4 linked regions of the Arabidopsis thaliana genome follow. The protein of the gene in region 1 interacts with the protein of each later gene in a pairwise test. Each region holds a gene or a part of one and is shown in the gene's direction. Other genes may lie near its edges.

Region 1 (7,194 bases):
CCATTTGTCTCTGTTGATTTGAGCAGGATGGCCGATGCATTCAAGACTAGCGTCTCTGGTCTAGAGAAAGAACTTGAAGCCTTGATCACAGACAACCAGATTCAGGTCCGTAGTGTTTCCCGAAATAACTTTGTTTTATGTTACTGTCATTTTAAAAACCTTAATAGAGGCAAAATCTTTTTTCCATCCCGGACAGGCAAGGATTGATTCACACAACAAAATCCTCTATGCAAGACACGCGGATCAGAGGAATGCAACTTTCCAAAAGGTACTTCAGATGGGAAACGAATTCGATAGAGATGTCAGGGCGATGCTGTTAAGAGCCAACCTCCTGAAACATGAGTATCATGCCAGATCGGCAAGGAAACTTTGATGACATCTGCTTTGCTAAACTGAGAGGTAATGGCCTATTCCAAGATCATAAGATATCTGTTAAAATTTAATTTGGTTTAGTTACTGGTTAGCTTTCTATCTGACCTTCTCTGTTCTCTAGTTATCGCTTTGTTTTGTCAACTTTTAGTTTAAGATTCTTTGAATTATCTATGGACTTTGAATGAAATCCCGAGTGTGAATCTATAGACGCATGAATCACACTGAAAGTGAAATGGTCAAAGAGTACAGACATAAGTACACACACTTGGTTTCATGGGCCGATATGATTTATGATCTTTGTATGCATGTGGGTGGTGGGATCAAAAATCTCATCTCCCAACTAATATCCATTTCATTTTGTCAACTAAACGTCGTATATTATATGATAGTTTGTGGCTTTGTGCACAGTTGTCACTCTATAGTTGAAGACTTTTTTTTTTCTTATCTACAAGAAATAATAATCAAAACGGTTAGGTCTTTTTTTTATAAGTAGAATCTCGAAAATTGCAAAACCAAGATTTGATGTCGGCAAACGCATCATGTAGACTAAGTGTGAACTTTTGATTTTCTTGTGTCAAAGAACTTTTGATATTAATCACTCGATAGCTACGTTTCATCATTATTAGTTTCTTCTATAGAATTTTTATCACTGAATGGGATAGTTCACATTATCTGGTACTATTATTTTTACTATTGCAAGTAGTTCTTTTCTATGCATTTCTTTGAAGTTGTTCTCTTTGTAGTTTGAGGTATCTTATATATATATATTTCTATATGTTTGTGTTTGCCAGGAATATTCAAGGGTGTTTTTTCAAGATTCGAACCAAACGAGAAATTGGGCAAGATTACTTTTTTGTAAGAACCAAGTGTTTCAATGAGTCGATGACATTTAGAGTAAGTAAAGGTTTTATTCTAAGATGGACAGTCCATTATTAATCAACTATTGAATGATATTGCCTTTTAAATGAGTCTTAGGTAGCATCGCAATAACTCCATGTTTACTCAAAACTCACAAACCATGAAGTTAAGAATCCGCCAAATTTGGAAGATGGGCCAACTCTAAATTTACTCACCCCAATACTCCATTTATTTTGGGTTGCATTGATGAAAGTAATTTGTATAATTGATAGGTTGTGTATCAAAAACCGGATCTCATTATTTGTGATCTTTGCATTAGTTATTTTTGGAGACTAATAACCATCTTTCTAAACTGTGAGTAATACAAATATAAACAACTTCTTGTTCGCTATGGAAAATAAAACATAACTCTTTAGGTACGATTCACGATGCAAAAACAATAGTCATCGTGAATAAACATGTCCGAAATACATGAATTAACAAATGAAACGCTCAACAAATGAATTGACAAATGAAACGCTCAACAAACGAAGAATCTCACATCCCATGATGAAATTGGGATTTACAAATAAAAAGTAGCACAAGAAGAAGGGGGTAGAACAGTAATTTTAAAAGAAAGACAGCGTTGATTCACCACTTGAAGTGGACTTTTATAGCAAAAAGAGTTGAGTAACGTCAAAAGAGTCAAACCCAACTTTTCAAAGGTTGTGTAAGGCTTTCCATGACTCCACATCTTCTTCTTTTCCCTTTTTATCCTTTTCTCTTCTCTCTCTTTTATTTTTTCTTTTGAAGTAAATTAATTTCACGAAACAAATCAGAGAACCTTTTATATCTTCCTTTTTCGTCGTTACTATCGTCCTTTACCTTTTTCATTTACTGTTCTCTCTCTCTCTCTATCTCTATCTCTATCTTCTATTCATGGACATGCACCGAAGCGACAAAGCTTAGGGCTTTTCTCTCATCCATGGCGGATTTCTTCTATCTTCATTAAATATTTCCCTCTTTATTAAAATCTCATGAATTTCAACGGTTTTCTCGACGACGGTGCTGGAGCCTCAAAGCTACTCTCTGATGCTCCGTACAACAACCACTTCTCTTTCTCCGCCGTAGACACCATGCTCGGAAGCGCCGCCATTGCTCCTTCTCAGTCTCTTCCTTTCTCTTCTTCAGGCCTCTCTCTCGGACTCGTAAGCTCACTATCTCCTCTTTTAATCTTCGATTTCTTCTTCTTCTACTACTTATGATAATCTCTGTAAATTTGGCAGCAAACAAATGGAGAAATGAGTAGAAACGGAGAGATTATGGAGTCAAACGTAAGTCGTAAGAGTAGTAGAGGAGAAGATGTAGAAAGCAGATCTGAAAGTGATAACGCTGAAGCTGTCTCCGGTGACGATTTAGATACCTCCGATAGACCTTTAAAGAAGAAGAAACGTTACCATCGTCACACTCCTAAACAAATTCAAGACCTCGAATCGTAAACTCACTATACACAAAATCTCCATTTACACTTCTACGAATCGTTTTGATTTTTGATTTTGATGAATCCTCCATTTTTAGGGTTTTTAAAGAGTGTGCACATCCAGACGAGAAGCAACGTCTTGATCTTAGCCGTCGACTTAACTTAGATCCTCGTCAAGTCAAGTTCTGGTTCCAGAATCGTCGTACTCAGATGAAGGTTTTTAGCTTCGAATCGCTAATCTTTGTTTTCTGGTTTCTTTGTTTTGATTTTTGATTTGTTTTTACAGACTCAAATCGAACGACATGAGAATGCTTTGTTGAGGCAAGAGAACGATAAGCTTCGAGCTGAGAATATGTCTGTACGCGAAGCTATGAGAAACCCTATGTGTGGTAATTGCGGCGGACCTGCCGTTATCGGTGAGATCTCAATGGAAGAGCAACATCTGAGAATTGAAAACTCTCGTCTCAAAGATGAGTTAGACCGAGTCTGTGCCTTAACCGGTAAGTTTCTTGGCCGGTCTAATGGTTCACATCATATACCGGACTCAGCACTTGTTCTCGGCGTTGGTGTTGGTTCTGGTGGATGTAATGTTGGTGGTGGTTTCACTCTCTCTTCTCCGCTGTTGCCTCAAGCTTCTCCTAGATTTGAGATTTCTAATGGAACCGGTTCTGGTTTGGTGGCTACGGTTAACCGTCAACAACCGGTTAGTGTTAGTGATTTTGATCAGAGATCGAGGTATTTGGATTTAGCTCTTGCGGCTATGGATGAGCTTGTGAAGATGGCTCAGACACGTGAGCCGCTCTGGGTTCGAAGCTCGGATTCTGGTTTTGAAGTGCTGAACCAGGAAGAGTACGACACAAGTTTCTCTCGGTGTGTTGGACCAAAACAAGATGGGTTTGTCTCAGAAGCTTCTAAAGAAGCTGGAACTGTTATCATCAATAGCTTAGCGCTCGTTGAAACCTTAATGGACTCGGTGAGTAGTTACTAAAACACTTAATTTTAGTAATGAGCTTAATCCAGCAAAAGTTCTAGAAAGTACTAATCTTTTGATACAATGTTTTTTATAGGAACGGTGGGCGGAAATGTTTCCTAGTATGGTCTCAAGAACTTCAACCACAGAGATTATCTCTAGTGGCATGGGAGGGCGAAATGGTGCACTTCACCTGGTATGTAATTATGCGTTTAACATTTAATTAACACATATAAAATCTTAATTCAACAAATGGGTCTTTTAATGTTTTGTTTTTGGTTAATTAGATGCACGCAGAGCTTCAACTGCTGTCTCCACTCGTGCCGGTTAGACAAGTGTCGTTCTTGCGGTTCTGTAAACAGCACGCGGAAGGTGTTTGGGCAGTCGTGGATGTCTCAATTGATTCCATTAGAGAAGGTTCTTCTTCGAGCTGTAGAAGATTACCATCCGGTTGCCTCGTACAAGACATGGCCAATGGCTACTCAAAGGTAAAATTATTCTTTCTGGGTGATGATTATTTGTAATAGTAGTATACTGTATAGTTTTAACTTTTCACCTTTAGGAGTTACCCTAGTGTTGGTTGGTTCACATTTCTCTAGGAACCACAGGCAAGCTCTTTGTTTTTGTCCGAGAAATTATGATAAAGGTTTCTTATGCATTGGGTTTATAACTTTAAATTAACTTATGCATTGGAGTAGGATTATTTTATTGATCAGAAGCATCTAAATATCTCCGAGTTCTGTGCCCTTGGATCGTGCATTAATTTTTATCATTACACGTTCATAGAAGTTTTTCTCTTTGATTATCATTAATTATGTGTTAAAGCTGACATTAGACCTAAAAAAACGATTGTGATAAACCTAACGCAAAATAGTTTAAGAAATTTGCAGGTAACATGGATCGAGCACACGGAGTATGACGAAAACCACATCCACCGTTTATACCGCCCATTACTCAGGTGCGGTCTAGCGTTTGGTGCGCATCGATGGATGGCTGCATTACAACGTCAATGCGAATGCCTCACGATTCTCATGTCCTCCACTGTTTCCACTTCCACTAATCCATCCCGTAAGCTCCCTCAAACGCTGCGTTTCTGATTTATTTTGTAGAAATATATATTTGTTTGTTGTTGTTGACGTGATTCATATCTTATCCTACCAGAATAAATAAGATTTAATAAATAGTATGAACTGTTGACTGAGTCACAAAGAAAAAGATGATAGCTGTTGATTCTGTAATTATCAAACTATATAGTTTAATTAATCTTTTTTTGGTTATATTAATGGGCACAGCTATAAACTGCAATGGGAGAAAAAGCATGCTAAAGCTAGCGAAGAGGATGACTGATAATTTCTGTGGAGGGGTTTGTGCTTCGTCGTTACAGAAATGGAGCAAACTCAACGTTGGCAACGTCGACGAAGACGTTAGGATAATGACTAGGAAGAGTGTAAACAATCCTGGCGAGCCGCCTGGGATAATTCTAAATGCGGCGACGTCAGTTTGGATGCCGGTATCTCCGAGGCGGTTGTTTGACTTCCTTGGAAACGAACGGCTTAGATCGGAATGGGATATCTTATCCAACGGTGGACCAATGAAAGAGATGGCCCATATAGCTAAAGGCCATGACCGTTCCAACTCCGTCTCCCTCCTCCGTGCCAGCGTAAGCATTCATATTTATTACACTTTCTATTTGCATGCGTAAGTAGCTAAGCTAATCTCCAAATTTTAGTTTAGGTTTTGGTGAATTTAGTATTTTATAAACATTAGATGGTTTTGGAAAACTTGAAATTTTAGTCGGTTTAGTTTTTTGTTTACGGTTTTCAACTTTTTCTGATTTTTTTGGGTTGGTTTTAGATAAATTAAAGTTAAACCGACTTGTGTGGACATTGAATATTTGATCTATAAACAGTGTATGAAAGGACTTTGTTGTGTTGTGTGACCCCAGGATGGTGTTGTCATATGAATCTTGTCGCGTGTGATTGGAAAGTGACAAATCTAGAATTTGGAAGTATTGTGTGATAAAAGTCAATAGTAATAAGACATTTTTGACCTTTTTCTTTCCTTTTTGGCTCCGACGTTTTGAAAAATCCTCTGTTTTTTTCTCTCTTTATTTCTGCATTATTGGTGTCTTTTCTCCGTTGTACCCCTTGAGCTTTTTCTGGCTTGTGACGGTGACACTGTAAAAGTCTCCTCGTTCATCATCTTTTAATTTATTGTTTCCCCTTTTGGGATTTATAATTTTCTCTTCTACCACCAAAGTTTCCATTTATTTAATTTTGTTTTGATTTTTTCATGCAGGCGATAAATGCGAATCAGAGTAGTATGCTGATATTACAAGAGACAAGCATAGACGCTGCAGGAGCGGTTGTCGTGTACGCGCCTGTTGATATCCCAGCAATGCAAGCTGTGATGAACGGTGGAGATTCTGCTTACGTGGCACTCCTTCCTTCAGGATTCGCCATTCTCCCTAACGGTCAGGCTGGTACGCAACGCTGCGCCGCAGAGGAACGTAACAGTATTGGTAACGGTGGGTGCATGGAGGAAGGAGGGTCGTTACTAACGGTGGCGTTTCAGATACTGGTGAATAGTTTGCCTACGGCTAAGCTAACGGTGGAATCTGTGGAGACGGTTAATAATTTGATATCGTGCACCGTTCAGAAGATTAAAGCTGCTCTTCATTGTGATAGCACCTGATCATCGAGATCAGACGATGGAGGAGATTGAGTCAAGAACGAACCTCATTTTGTGATGAATCCGTTTTTGTGATGGTTCGGGTATTGACTCGATGAAATTTAAAAAAAAAAAAAAAACAAAGAATGTTGTAATTTGGATCGGTTTTATTTTGGATCATGTCGATGAAATGTAATTGTTTCTTGTTTCTCTTCTTGTAATGACTCGATAATATCGGGACAGCATTATATGAAACACACAAGTTTTTTTTAGGGGAGCTCAAATAATTAGTTATAAGCAAAAACGTATTATCATTTTTTTGGTTATAAATCAAGGCAACCAGAAGCACAATCCGTGTTTACTTTTGTGGTAGTTTATAATGTGAAAGGATTGGTTTGGACCGTGTCCTTTATTTAATGTTGTTCCAAGTTTACAGTACTTTTCTCAATAAGATGGAAAAGGAACGAACGAAGAAGAGTGAAACACGTGAGTGCATGAATTTAGTTGCAATCCCTTATAGTTATTATATCCATGCAATGTAGACAACTACAACGAAAGGCTAATTGATTAGGTTGGTTTAGAGATTGTTTGATAATGCTAGCCTAGATCCAAAGGTCACATCAGAAGAGACCACAGGCTACTAATGGGCTTTTATCTAAAGCCTGTCATTAACTACTCTATTATGGCTACCAAGTAAGTCTTCTCAAAGTGTATTGGGCCAATCATTAACTAATTTATTGGGCTAGATTTTAAGTCCATTGGAGTATATACTATTATTACAAACGACAATAATATTATTATTACAAACGGGCCGAAAGAAAAGAGTCAAAAGGAAGAGTCAAACTTCCGAATAATCCGCGCGCTT
Region 2 (3,965 bases), on another chromosome or scaffold:
GACCAATATTTTATTATTATTCATATAATTAAACGTTTATTGAATTATTTTAGCTCTAAAAAATATAATGAAATTTAGAATTGTTATAGAAACTTTAAATGACTCAAAACTGATCTTTGTTTTTTTGTCAACCACACATTAATTAAAAACTGATCTTTGTTAAACATCTAAATATTGAAAAACAAAAGGATTACCACCGCACCTATCCTGCATCGTCTTGTACCATTTGCATTCATCAGAGCCATTATATATTCATGTGGCTGTCACATCCTTATATACATTTCAACTTATAAATTTAATTTTGTACGTTTAGCAGATGTTGGTGAATTCATTTATTCAAGCTTAAGGTTTAACTCGTTCTTGTCTCCTTTAGGTTCATAACATTTAATGGACAACAACTACTCCAAATATCCGTGGACTTTACCACGCGACGCACCGACAATTCTCTAGCCTTTTCATTAATTGATCAGTAAAAACACTTCTATAATTTTAATTATTCTCAGAAATTTTAACCGGTAGTAACATAAACGTAGATGATCGAAAAAGATGAAATCGAGGTCTCTGTTTTGTGTCGAATTAATAGATCTATAAGAAATCAAACAATGAAAATTAAATAGATGAATGAAATATGTTTTGACGACGTTTTCACGTCACTGTTTAAGTTATCTGTTAGTAAAATTTGATAGCATTTAATTTGAATTGCTATGTAACTCGGAATAAATTCGACGGCAAGAGGTGTGGGATGTGATCAGTCTTCTAATTAAGTGTAATCTTTACAAAAAATCAGTATGAGTTAATACAGGTTTATAAATAGAAAGACATCTACAGTAAAACCTCTATAAATTAATAATGTTGGGACTGCAAAATTTTATTAATTTAGAAAGATTTTAATTTATCGATAAATTAATATTTATTAATTTATAGAGAGATTTTCGTAATTTAGTAACTTTTCAAAAATTTCTATAAAATTTTTTTCATTATAGAAAATATCTTTCAAAAATCAATTACAAGTAAATAATAATATCATGTTTAGAAAACAACACCAAAAGTTTTTGATAAAGTAAAATACTATAACTAAATTTAAATAAGAATAAATACAAATTTTAAGCAAAAAAATATTAGAATTATATTTCAAAATAATTTCTTACATATAATGTATATATAGTTGATATATTTATAAAATTATTAATTTATGATATTGATGGGACCATATATTTACATAAGATTTTTTAAAAAGTTATTATCTTATTAATTTATCGATTTGTGTCACTTTTTACACTGATCCCAACTCGGGACTGGAAGAATTTATTAATTTATAGAGGTTATTAATTTATCGAGTATTAATTTATAGAGGTTTAACTGTATATGAATAATTGAATACACATGGGACATCATTATAGTTACCTTAGTACGATTTTATGCATTTGGTTACCAAAATCCACTAGGCTTCGTAATTGGTTGTGGGTCAGTGTCCATTCGATAGTTTGCATTAGCGATAAACACTTAAAACAGTAAAACGTGATCTATTTTTAAACAATAACATTTCTTCTTATCAAATATTCACATAATTAATGAAGAAAAGAGACGAATTGATAGGCAATAAGAAATATGATCACTTGGTACCATTGTATGCATGGTATGAACTGACATCAAGTATTTGTACGTTGTAGGGTAATTATTAACATTGTAGAATGACAAGTATGATCAAATGGAAAAGGATTAGTTATATGTAGCAAAACTAGTATTTGTACTTGGACTATCTTGTCATGTAGTTTTCCTAACGCTATATATAATCCAATAACCCCATGACACGGAAGAGATAGGGGACATACAATAAATATCAGTAGAGAGGACGTGGGAAAAGCAGAGAGTTAAGTGAGTAGTTGGAGATAGAAAGATCAGAGACGAGGAATCTCTCTCCCACTCTCACTTTCTCTCCTATTCTTAGTTCGTGTCAGAAACACACAGAGAAATTAAGAACCCTAATTTAAAACAGAAGAATGGTACATTCGAAGAAGTTCCGAGGTGTCCGCCAGCGTCAGTGGGGTTCTTGGGTTTCTGAGATTCGTCATCCTCTCTTGTCAGTTCTCTCTCCCTCTCTATCTATTAATAGAGACAACAGTATAAATCTGTTTATGCAAGTCCATGCTATGAGTTAAGTTTACATTTTTGGTGTACGTGTAGGGCAGTTTTCTGATCATTGATTATATTTTCGAAGATTCATGCAAAGCTCTTATAATATCATGCATTTTTGTTTAAGTCGTTTTCCTTATTTTTTTCCAATTAAAAAACCCACGTTTATTAACATATACATATGTTGAGTATTTGTACTTTTTGTGTTGTATTTTGAAATTTTGAGTGTACATAAATTTAAATGCTTTGTCATATAATTGATACTGATGTATTTTCTATGTCTTAGTTGGATTATAGAAAATCATATAGCAAAGAATTGGGAAGGAACGAACACTACTCACTATAAACTTTCCTCAAAAAGAAAACGACCCAATTTATTATCAGTAACAATTTATAACAAATTTGTTGTGTGTTTGTTTTAGTACTTTGAAGTTTGAATAAAATGTGTGTTTTTTGCTTACGTAACTTATGTGAGCTATCAGGAAGAGAAGAGTGTGGCTAGGAACATTCGACACGGCGGAAACAGCGGCTAGAGCCTACGACCAAGCCGCGGTTCTAATGAACGGCCAGAGCGCGAAGACTAACTTCCCCGTCATCAAATCGAACGGTTCAAATTCCTTGGAGATTAACTCTGCGTTAAGGTCTCCCAAATCATTATCGGAACTATTGAACGCTAAGCTAAGGAAGAACTGTAAAGACCAGACACCGTATCTGACGTGTCTCCGCCTCGACAACGACAGCTCACACATCGGCGTCTGGCAGAAACGCGCCGGGTCAAAAACGAGTCCAAACTGGGTCAAGCTTGTTGAACTAGGTGACAAAGTTAACGCACGTCCCGGTGGTGATATTGAGACTAATAAGATGAAGGTACGAAACGAAGACGTTCAGGAAGATGATCAAATGGCGATGCAGATGATCGAGGAGTTGCTTAACTGGACCTGTCCTGGATCTGGATCCATTGCACAGGTCTAAAGGAGAATCATTGAATTATATGATCAAGATAATAATATAGTTGAGGGTTAATAATAATCGAGGGTAAGTAATTTACGTGTAGCTAATAATTAATATAATTTTCGAACATATATATGAATATATGATAGCTCTAGAAATGAGTACGTATATATACGTAAACATTTTTCCTCAAATATAGTATATGTGTTGTGATTCTAAGACTTGTAAACTGATATGGCCTACTGTTTAAAGAGTAGTTGATATTTTCTATTGAATTTGTGGACATGATATAATTACAGGAGATTAGTATAGTAGTCATTATGATACTTATGAAGGTACAAGTGGTAGGATGATAATTAATTAGTTTAATAAAGAATAATGAACATTAAATGTGAAAGAGATTTGCCACTTTTGTTAAACACATCTGCGAATCAGATTCTTGTGATTCGAATGTTAGTCCTACCTAGATTAAGAAAGGTTTTACTATTTTAACATGTTTACCTGGTTTGGGTAAAGTTCATGTCCTGTCCTATTCCGTCTTGTCCCGATCATGATAAACTTTATGAGCAATTCTTATAGAATTTTATTTTAAAATACTGATTTTTGATATTCAATTTTATTTGATTATTTTTTACTTAGGCATGTGATAAAGGCGATTTTGACTTAGTTTCACATACAAGTTTAAGTAAATTATCTTACATAACAAAAGAGATTCAAGTAAATAAATCTAAGCGGGCTAAAATTAATCAACTAGCTCAAGTTGAAACATTTTATCAAGTGAACCTCTTCCAAGTCTAGATAGCATCTCAAGTTTATATATGATATCATATCATGGACACACTTTGGATTTTGGATATTTTGTGTCGATGTTTAAACATCTT
Region 3 (5,503 bases), on another chromosome or scaffold:
GTTTCAGGTTATTTTGAGGAGGGCAGAGAGAAAGTTGCAGCTTAGTCATAATGTTGTGGGAGATAACATGGAAGAGAAAGAAGAAGATGGTGGTGATTTGCGGTCTCTAGTGTTTGGTTTACAAAGGTTTGATCCCGAGGAGATTCACAATGAAGAGTCTGATAACCTGAAAATGGTAGAAATAAGTTCTCTTGCTGAGAAAGTTGTTGCAATACGTCAAAACGTTGAACCAGACAAGGAAGAAAGAAGGTTTGAAATTAATTCGAGCGACACTTTGCTAGGAAATACATCATCTGCAAGTCTGGATTCCGAGCTTGATGAAGCTTCTTACCTTTCATGGGTTGAGAAATTGAAGGAAGCTGCACGATCAAGCAAGGATGAAAAAATTATTGAGTTGGGAAATAGAAAGAACTTATCTGAGGAAAGAAATCTGAGAATTGAGGCTGCCAGGAAAAAGGCAGAAGAGAAGAAGTTAGCCACGTGGGGAGCACACGGTTATCAGTCTTTGTCCGTGGAAGAACCGATTTTGCCTGATGATGTTGATTCCAGCTCAGATGCAGGATCTGTTAACTTTGTCTTTGGAGACTGTACAAATCCATCAACTGTCTCTCATGAGCCAGCAATCATATTCAGGTAAAACTTCATTTCAATTGTTCATCTAAAAACCAAACCTCTAAAACTTCCAAATATTGATTTTATGGCAGCTGTGTTGATGACTCTGGAAACTGGGGACGTGGTGGAATGTTTGATGCTCTGTCAAAACTGTCTAATACTGTACCCACTGCTTATCACCGAGCATCCGAGTTTAAAGACCTTCATCTTGGAGACCTGCATCTCATAAAAATTGATGGTCTGCAACTTTTTTTTTTTCTATCTTCCTTTCATTTTCTAACAACATCAAAGAGTTCTCATGTATTTTGTGTTGTGTAGACAATGATGACCAACAAAACACACAAGCAAGCAAGCCTCTTTGGGTGGCAGTTGCAGTTACACAATCTTACAATTCGAGGCGTAAAGTCCCACGTAGTAGCATTTCAATTCCAGACCTTGAAAGTTGCTTAGCCAAAGCTTCATTCTCTGCTTCTCAGAAATCAGGTACGAACTTAATTACTTTCTTTCTTTAAAGTTTCATCATATTTGGAATTATAAACAAAAGTGCTCCCAAAGAGCTTAACACTTGTGTTGTCATTTCTGGTATGGTAATGTTCTCTCCTCAAAAAGCCTCACTCCACATGCCACGTATTGGTTACCAAGACGGATCAGACCGATCTCAATGGTACACTGTTGAGCGTCTTCTTCGAAAATACTCCTCCATCTTCACCGTCAAAATATTCGTGTAAGTTTATATGTGTCGCCCGTCTTCTTTCTTTTGAATAATCCAAAGCAAACTCATTTTTGTTGCTTTCTTGTAGGTACTATTATCGTCGATCTCCCTGAATCACACAATGGGATAGTCTTTTTGACGCTGTAATATAATTTGCTTTTGGTTGTACATGTAACGGTGTCGTTTGTATGTAGAAGGAAGACTTGTAATTGGGCCCAGTAGTGGCCCATATTAATGTATAATTAAATAATAGCCTAATCTTATAATTCAATCTTGATCACTGAGCCAATTTACACGTGTTGCGTCTCTAGTGCCTCTGGTTCCACGTTGGTCGTCAAAATTGAAATCGCGTTTCTATTTTCTTCACGAGGTTTCTTTTCCCCGCGGCTTAGGACAATATGATCCGAATCGTTGAAGAAACTGTCTCCTTGTGTCTATGTTTCGTTTTGATCCCACATTCCTAAAGCTCCAGGTACCTTTTCTACGTTTCCCGAATTCTGATTAGTTGATTCTTCTTCCTCAATCCGTTCTTCCCAAACTTGTTGCCGATTTTTGGATCCGGTCATCAACTTTGTTGTTTATTTGTCATCAATGCAAAAATTGAGAGCGTCTGTGTTTTCACTTGCATGTTATCAATTCCTAATGTTGTTTGCCGTTTCATTAACCGGATTCGAGACTCTTCCCGCTGGATTTCTTTTTTTCACGTCTTCTTTTCTATTTTTTATGGATTTGGTATTTTGACATGTTAAGCAACCTTCGTTAATCAGTTTAAAATCGGTGCTTTCCGAAATTTTTAGAAGAAACATGGAAGCTTAAAATTTTGAAATTGCTATTTGGAAAAGCTATCATTTCATAGGCTTAGTCTTTGTAATTCTTCTTTACTTGTTGTTCATTGGCATGAATATATGAAGGATTTTATATTTGATTGTGTGTTTGTTTATGTTGTTAGAAATTGATCAAAATGGGAGAAGCTGGTCAATCCAGAGACGGAGAATCTGTCACGCCTCTTGTTGTAAGTATTGTGGCTTCCTTTTCTCACTTTTTAGATAATACTTTCAGAAACTATACTTGCTTTATGCTCTCATCTTAATGGAATTCTGTTTGGAGTCAACTTAACGTTCTCTTGGTTTCTATATCAACGGAAACATATAAGTTGATTAAAATGGGGTTAAAGAGGATATTCGTAATTTTTGGTTCTTTATGCATTGAGACTACCATTCTAATATCAGTAATTTTTCCATGGCCAGGGCGGTGGTAATGGGGACAATGCGGTTGCACCACAAGTGTTTAATTCTTTACCAGCTCTTAATGAAGCTGCTTCTTATATAACTCAAGCAACGTCTTACTTAGGGAGCTGTTTTTCTGACTATTCAGGTACCCTTTCTTTCTATCTGTTGATGTCGTACTCAGTATGCAATTCCACGTTCATATGCTAGGCTTTACTTATGGAAAATATGCTTAGCAGATATTTATGGTGTTAGGATCTTATCGTCACCGTAACATAATTCAGGCTTTGCTTAGCATCTGTTCTTTCAATGCTTTCTTCAGTAGAATATGGTGGCAAGGATACTATTTCCCACCCCCATGAGTTGTTACGATCAACTTCCGGAGTTGACGGGAATTCCCCAGTGAGTGTATGCATTTCGCCTGGTGAAAGGTTTTCAACTTCTTCAGAGGCATCTACATCTGATGCCAACAGCCCGTCGAGGGAATCTACAGAGATTCTGCCACAGGCAACAAATGCAATAGTGACTTCGAATCGGTTAAATTTAAATGGAATTTCAATGTTCCAAGGGTACGTGTACTTTGTATTACAGATACAAATTCCCCATACTAGTAGATATGTAAAATCTTAATACTATGAATATGTGAAACTGAAGCAATACAATAATCTCTATACACTACTACTTCTTGTCAAGTTTTCAGCATTTGGGTGATTGATCTATTTTAATTCAATCAGGCTCATTGAGCGGGCACGGAGGACTGTTCGTGGCTCGGCAGATGACATAGGATGGTTACAGCGTGCCCCGGAGATGCCTCCTGTTGAAGATGGAACTGATAGGTTCAATAAAATTCTGGAAGACATCGGGTATGAATTGGTTGTAGTTGCATGTTTTGTGTGCTTTGTGGCCTTTTCAATATGCTGTTTAACATCCTGTTTTTTACTAAATGGCTGCGTTGATCTGGTTTTTATATCCAGGCATGGTGTACACAGGCTTCCAAATACAGTGGTGTACTTATTGGTTCCAGGTAGCAATTCTTATTCTTTGCTGCCAGCCACTTAAACTACATTACTGTATATTAGGACTCTCAAAATTAGTTGAATTTTTTTTAGGTCTTTTCAGCAATCATGGACCTCTATATTTTGTGGATACGAAAACGAAATTCTCAAAGATGGGTTTGGCGTGTCATATTGCGAAGATTCACAGCGAGGTAATCATAACTAACTCAACTTAGTACAGTTACATTTGGTGTATAGCATACTAATATATGGAGAAATGTTTATATATCAGTCCTCGGTTGAGAAAAATGCGAGAGAGATAAAGGAATACATAGAGGAACTCTGTTGGGGATCTAATAAGCGGGTTCTACTTCTTGGGCATAGCAAAGGAGGCATAGATGCAGCTGCTGCTTTATCACTATACTGGCCTGAACTAAAGGATAAGGTCGCTGGGTTGGTACTGGCGCAGAGTCCATATGGTGGAAGCCCAATAGCTACAGATATCCTCCGTGAAGGACAACTAGGTGATTACGTCAATTTGAGAAAGATGATGGAGATTCTAATCTCCAAAGTCATAAAGGTTTGCAACATTCCTGATCTAACAAAGTCATTTCAGTTGCATTATATCAGCTTCTTGTGATTGCCTGTTAAAATCCTTAGTTAGGTGGAACCGAGAAACTAGGGATAAACCAAAACTTATTTTGTTTCTGGATTCTATTGCTCTGCTGATCTTTCTGATGAATTCCTTGGAACATTGTGAAGGGTGACATTCAAGCATTGGAAGATTTAACATACGAGAGAAGAAAAGAATTCTTGAAGAATCATCCGCTTCCCCGAGAACTCCCCACGGTTTCATTCCGCACAGAAGCTAGCATTAGCCCAGCGGTTCTATCCACTTTATCACACGTAGCACACGCTGAACTTCCTCTGACAAACCAAGCCGCAAAACTGCCAGTGGTAATGCCACTTGGTGCTGCAATGGCTGCTTGCGCTCAGCTACTTCAAGTCAGATACGGTGAAAAGAGTGACGGGCTAGTGACTTGCTGTGACGCAGAGGTTCCTGGTTCTGTGGTTGTTAGACCCAAACGTAAACTAGACCATGCCTGGATGGTGTACTCTTCCTTGAACGAGGTTCCTTTAGAAGCTGATGCTGCTCAAGTTTGTGAAGCGCTCTTAACTTTGCTTGTCCAAGTTGAGCAAGAGAGGCAACAAAAACTCGCAACAAAAATCGATTGATAAACCAAATTGTTTTATTTCTACTTTCGTCTTGAGACTTCAAATTACTGTATTTGTTTCTATCTTTTTGTTTTATTTCTTACTAATTTACTATCAGGTTTGAATCACACGATAACAAAAAAATTATTACAAACGGTAGATTTTATATTTATAAGACTACTTAATTTGCTTCTTTTTTTTTCTTTTATTGTTGATTAATTTTTATTAGAAGATTAGTTATGTTTTTCTCTCTATTCCTTTAACGAACCGTGATCGTGCGGCTCGGATCGTTGGAGATTCTATGGACGGCCGATGCTTATATACTGTAAGTGGAATATGTAATTCCCGAAAGTGCCCTCCAGATGTTCACAAAATTACGCCATCGTACTCGAATTAACTTCAACTCTCTCTTCTCTCTCTCTTTCTTTTCACTCTTGTTTTTGTTTCTGTGAGTGCTGTGTGTGTTCTCGGTTTGTAATATCTAAGTCGCACAAAGATCAGACAAAGTCTGTTTGCGTTTGATAGCATTAGAGTCTGATCGAATTTGGAAGACCTGTGAGATTAGGGTTTCTTTTTGTTTGTTTTTTTTTATTCCGAAGGAGAGCTGCGGAGCAATTGGAATTACCTCGGTTAAAGCAATCACGTAGCTTTGGATCGTTTAGGGTTTTCTCATTGGGTTTGGGGGATTTGTATTCGAGCTTCCTCAAACTCAATCTGATGGTGATGTGAGACAAGGCTTAATC
Region 4 (4,990 bases), about 12 Mb from region 1:
TTTTTTTTTTAATTTTAAATTTCCTTTAAAAGAGAACATACAATGCCAAAAGGCTAAAAAGGCACACAGGCCTGAACAGAACAAGGCAAAAGCCCAACACAGGCACGCAGGCCCCAAAAGAAAGAGGAAGAGAGGAAGGAAAAAAGGAGATAGAGACCTTACCCGAACAACCTAAACCAGGTTGAGAGAACCGACGATCCCGGTCTGGCTAACCGTTGGGCACGAGCCAACGGATCAAGGCGCGCCTTCAAGATAACCTTAATCTCCTTGACAATAGTTAAGGAAGTTTTCTGAGAGGAGGAATGAATTCTTTGGTTCCGCTCCTTCCACACAAGATAGACTGAGGCTTGAAAGGCTAATTTGATGATCAACGCCGTATTAGGTTTTAGTTTGTTTGGTTTTACTTTGGTTTGTGTTGGAGTTGATTCCCAAAGATTTTAAACATTCAAAAGTAATTTTCTGTGCTCTTATATACCAAACAATTTTCCAAATAAACTTCATCGTTTGGTTTAGTAAAAAGTTTATTAATCAAACATCAACATGCAACGATTGTGACATGGTTTGGGTTAGACTAGTTCGGTTTAGTTTGACTTGGTTCAGTTAAAATACTCACCTGTACCCGAGACGAGGATATTAGAAGCGCAAAATAATAAAATACGCCGGAGGACGACGACAGCCGTCGTCCACGTGCTGTTGCCGGTAGTCCACGTGCGTCCATGTGAGGCATTGAGGCGCCTCGGTCGTAACTTCCGCCTACTTCCTACATTATGTTAACTCAATTTTTAAGTGTAATTAATTACTAATCACTATTCAGTTTTTGTTTTGTTAACATGATTTCTCGTTTTTTTTTTTTGTTGAATAATTTTTAGATTCATCCTCGTAAAATGGTTTAACTAATGGAGTCATTTTAAACAGTAAAATTAATTATTTCTAGAAATAAAGAAGAACATGCATAGTTATTTAAGTTTTAATAAATTTATTATCAGTGGTTCAATGTACCAGCCATCTCGAATTCTTAGGAGGACATGTCTCCTGATAGAAAAATATTTTAATTAAAATCTACCAACAAGATTGCATTGGTGCAATTAATATCTAATGATTATGATTCCATGTTGTATAATCTCATTGCATAGATATTGATTCGAAATAGAATTTTCAAATCACGAAAATATGAAAATGGATAACCTTGTCAGTTGTTTCATGAGTCATGACCCTCTCATCTATGTTTCGTTTAACTTAATTTAAGAACACAATTTTTTTCTCATGCACAAATAATTAGTTTAAGAGTTTAATGCGTAGGGTAATCCAACACCAAGAGTGAATTTTCTCTTCTTAGCTTAAACAAATTATACATCATAAAAAATAGCTAATCTCAGTTTTATAAAAATTTCAAACTAATTTTTTATTATTGTACTTTAAAATCCTTAACAATTTTCAAAACCGTAAAATGAAACCACATTCAACTAAAAATTGGATTATTTACACAAACATAGAACATTTAGTAAAACTCTGAATGATAACATACAGTTTAACTGCACATAAAGTGCGATGCAGTTCTAATAATAACAAAAAATATATATAGATTTTTTGTTACTATTACAACCGTACCGCATGATGCGGTTCTGTCTCTATTCGTAGCCTAGAGATCAGTCGATTTCATATTTTAAAATTTGGATTTCAGATTCGTCGAATATGACCAAAATGAACGTGACCCTACAATCATTTTTTACGGACCTACTACTAAATCTATACTAATACTCAAACTTTATAGCCTAGACATAACAAAAACATAACACGAAGATTCATACACAACGAGTGTATAATATAATCTTACTAATTAGTGCTTAGATGCGGCTCCCTACTTAATTACAGTAATTAAATTTGCTTTTGAGGGAACATCGCAAGATCGAGAGTTTAAAAAGTTGCTTAAAAAAACTTTCCCATTAAACGACGAAACATCGAACTTTCTCTTTATCTTCTTCATTCACCTGAAGAAAGCAAATTTAAAGAATACGAAAGAAAGAAACATCTTCTTCTTCTTCTTCTTCTCTCTCGGACACTAATCGGATCGGATCTAACAAAACTCGTCAAAGAGAAAGAAAATATTTTCATAAACCACTGATTTGTCTATGATCAGGTTATAGTTTCTTTCCTTCTTCTTCCTCTATGTTTCTGCAACTTTTACCGGAACTTCAAAATTTTGCGGGAAAAAAAAATCGAAACTTTTTCTTTCTCTCTACGTTGTCTCGGCGGTTACTTGAAATTGATTCGTTGATTGAGTTTAAGTAACCCTAATCATTGCTGGGTTTCACTTTTTTCGATTTCTTTATTCGGGTTTGAAGTTAACTTTTAAAAACCTTTCTTTCAGGAATTTTGTCGAACACCTTCAATGGATTCTTCTTCATCAGTCGTTTACGTTGGTTCATCATCCAAATCCAGAAACTTTCAATCTAAATCCAAAGGTTCGATTACATCTTTCTCAATCGATTCAAGAGGCACCAAGAAATCAATGAAGACGTTATTAATCCCAGAACCAGAACCAACTTCCCCTGAAGTTATAGAAAGTTCTGTGTCCTCTGTTTCAGCTGAATCCGAGACACCAATTTCGATTATACGTAAGAAGAAACAATCAGAGCCAAGGTTTTACTCTAGCCCAACCAACACGTTTTACACAGAAGCAAAACAAAGCTTTACCAACACAGAATTCAGTGAATGTGCAAGCATAAGCACTATTGGTATAGGTGGTATTGATTTGGAGAAGAATGGTGTAATGATATACAGAGGAAGTATAGGGAGTGATGTTAGTGATGAGAGTAGCTCAAGTGGTCTGAGTAATGCAGCTTACAAGCCACATAGAGATAATAACGATAAGCGTTGGGTTGCGATTCAGGAGGTTCGTTCTCGGGTTGGTTCGTCGCTTGAGGCTAAAGATTTCAAGCTGATTAAGAAGTTAGGAGGAGGTGATATTGGTAATGTTTACTTAGCTGAGTTGATTGGAACTGGAGTGAGTTTTGCTGTGAAAGTTATGGAGAAAGCTGCTATTGCAGCGAGGAAGAAGCTTGTTAGAGCTCAGACTGAGAAAGAGATACTTCAATCGTTAGATCATCCTTTCTTGCCTACGCTTTACTCACATTTCGAAACAGAGATGAATTCTTGTTTGGTTATGGAGTTTTGTCCTGGTGGTGATTTACATTCTCTTAGACAAAAACAGCGTGGAAAGTACTTCCCTGAGCAAGCTGCTAGGTAAAAATTCGAGACTTTACGGTTAATGTTTTCGTTATTAGCTGAAAGTTTTGATCTTTTTGCTGTCTTGTTTGTAGATTTTATGTTGCTGAAGTTCTTCTTGCTATGGAGTATCTACATATGCTTGGGATCATATACAGAGACCTTAAGCCTGAGAATGTTTTAGTTCGTGAAGATGGACATATAATGCTATCTGATTTCGACCTCTCTTTGAGATGTGCAGTCTCTCCAACGTTGGTTCGGTTCGCAGCAATCACGCTTGAGTCCAAAAGCTCAAGCTACTGTATCCAACCAACATGTGTAGACCAATCGAGCTGCATTGTTCAGCCTGACTGCATCCAGCCAGTGTGTTTCACTCCTCGGTTCTTGTCTAAAGGAAAGCACAGGAAGAAGTCGAACGATATGAGCCGCCAAATCAGACCGCTTCCTGAGCTGATAGCTGAACCGACTAGCGCAAGGTCAATGTCGTTTGTTGGTACACACGAGTACCTAGCACCAGAGATTATCAAAGGAGAAGGTCATGGAAGCGCGGTTGACTGGTGGACATTCGGGATATTCCTCTATGAGCTTCTATTTGGGATAACACCGTTTAGAGGAGGCGATAACAGAGCGACACTCTTTAACGTAGTTGGACAGCCATTGCGGTTTCCCGAGCATCCAAATGTGAGCTTTGCAGCTAGAGATTTGATCAGAGGATTGCTAGTGAAAGAGCCTCAGCATCGGTTGGCTTATAGAAGAGGAGCTACTGAGATTAAGCAGCATCCGTTTTTCCAAAGTGTGAATTGGGCTTTGATCAGATGCACCAGTCCACCACAGATTCCTCAACCGGTTAAACCAATGGATCAAGCTCACAGTGTTCGTCATGGTTTTAGTCAAGGACATGGACATGTTGGTTATGATAAGCCTCCTACTGTGGATGTGAAGCCTTCTGGTAATTATTTGGAAATTGATTTCTTCTGATTTGTGATTTCTTTCACTATCAGTTTTGGTTGGTTCAATCTGATACCGGCGTATTATGTTTGCTTTTGAGGTTTGTGTCTAGATTTTTGTGTTACTGATGTGTTTGGTCTTACCAAATATTTGACTGTTGTGTTCTTCACATTGTGGTGAGGTTGTATCTAGTTTTTCCAATACAAGTGTCTTTTAATTTGCAACTAAGGAAATGTAAATTTTAATCATCAATAGATGTGTTCTTTTAATCATTAAACAGATTAGTGTTACTGAAAATTGAAAAAGAATCTAAAAAAATGGTAAAATTAGAGTAAAAACACAAAATATGATTATTCTCTTAGTTTTTGTTATTCGAAAGAAAATACCTATCAGTGCACCAAATTAAAAAAAAAATCTTAAAAGTAAAAGAATTTACAAACATTAATGTTCATCTTTAGTAAAATTTCCTATAAGGGATCTAGAAAAAAGCAGAGAAAAAGAATCTTAAAAGAAACGGTAAATTAGAGATGTAAAGACAAAATAATATTTGACTTGCTCAATAAAAATGATCCCTCTTGTGAAAAAAAAAAGACAAAATAATTATTCTCATTATTTTTTAATTAAAAATCTGTGTAATTAATACTTTAATAGTCTAAAAATTTATATAAAATAAAAGTCAGACAATATAACTTGCAAAAATGAATTTAATTACGTGTGGTGTTTCCTAATTGATAATTTAATTAGTTGAGCATAAACACTTCAAAACAATCAAAAGAGTATTATCTAATTTTAACTAAAGTAACCGTCTGTCACCGTA

Evidence for each region.
Region 2: the proteins of HDG1 (region 1) and SHN3 interact in a two-hybrid assay, tested with the Arabidopsis thaliana proteins (one large-scale study listed by BioGRID).
Region 3: the proteins of HDG1 (region 1) and AT2G44970 interact in a two-hybrid assay, tested with the Arabidopsis thaliana proteins (one large-scale study listed by BioGRID).
Region 4: the proteins of HDG1 (region 1) and ATPK7 interact in a two-hybrid assay, tested with the Arabidopsis thaliana proteins (one large-scale study listed by BioGRID).

The regions. Positions count from the first base shown.
Region 1 is NC_003074.8:22,628,523-22,635,716, forward strand, and holds HDG1 (homeodomain GLABROUS 1), read left to right. Parts: upstream 1-1,808; 5' UTR 1,809-2,246; coding exon 2,247-2,417; intron 2,418-2,495; coding exon 2,496-2,704; intron 2,705-2,787; coding exon 2,788-2,905; intron 2,906-2,975; coding exon 2,976-3,662; intron 3,663-3,756; coding exon 3,757-3,855; intron 3,856-3,946; coding exon 3,947-4,147; intron 4,148-4,549; coding exon 4,550-4,727; intron 4,728-4,951; coding exon 4,952-5,319; intron 5,320-5,957; coding exon 5,958-6,353; 3' UTR 6,354-6,633; downstream 6,634-7,194. Other genes in the region: FUS6 (COP9 signalosome complex subunit 1), read left to right, coding at 1-105, 197-373. UniProt on the Arabidopsis thaliana protein: Probable transcription factor. Promotes cuticle development probably by modulating the expression of the downstream genes BDG and FDH, possibly repressed in a CFL1-dependent manner.
Region 2 is NC_003076.8:8,818,637-8,822,601, forward strand, and holds SHN3 (Integrase-type DNA-binding superfamily protein), read left to right. Parts: upstream 1-1,821; 5' UTR 1,822-2,000; coding exon 2,001-2,080; intron 2,081-2,615; coding exon 2,616-3,105; 3' UTR 3,106-3,426; downstream 3,427-3,965.
Region 3 is NC_003071.7:18,548,277-18,553,779, reverse strand, and holds AT2G44970 (alpha/beta-Hydrolases superfamily protein), read left to right. Parts: upstream 1-1,608; 5' UTR 1,609-1,760; coding exon 1,761-1,796; intron 1,797-1,808; exon of another isoform or gene 1,809-2,191; intron 2,192-2,273; coding exon 2,274-2,336; intron 2,337-2,571; coding exon 2,572-2,698; intron 2,699-2,872; coding exon 2,873-3,119; intron 3,120-3,284; coding exon 3,285-3,413; intron 3,414-3,524; coding exon 3,525-3,574; intron 3,575-3,659; coding exon 3,660-3,757; intron 3,758-3,837; coding exon 3,838-4,125; intron 4,126-4,307; coding exon 4,308-4,781; 3' UTR 4,782-4,967; downstream 4,968-5,503. Other genes in the region: ASG3 (SNF2 domain-containing protein / helicase domain-containing protein), read left to right, coding at 8-633, 705-850, 931-1,095, 1,222-1,336, 1,413-1,437.
Region 4 is NC_003074.8:10,216,884-10,221,873, reverse strand, and holds ATPK7 (Protein kinase superfamily protein), read left to right. Parts: upstream 1-1,812; 5' UTR 1,813-2,389; coding exon 2,390-3,243; intron 3,244-3,320; coding exon 3,321-4,203; 3' UTR 4,204-4,457; downstream 4,458-4,990. Other genes in the region: AT3G27590 (reverse transcriptase family protein), read right to left, coding at 159-323, 614-760, 1,415-1,459. UniProt on the Arabidopsis thaliana protein: Protein kinase that regulates the auxin transport activity of PIN auxin efflux facilitators by direct phosphorylation. D6PK-mediated PIN phosphorylation promotes auxin transport in the hypocotyl and this is a prerequisite for PHOT1-dependent hypocotyl bending.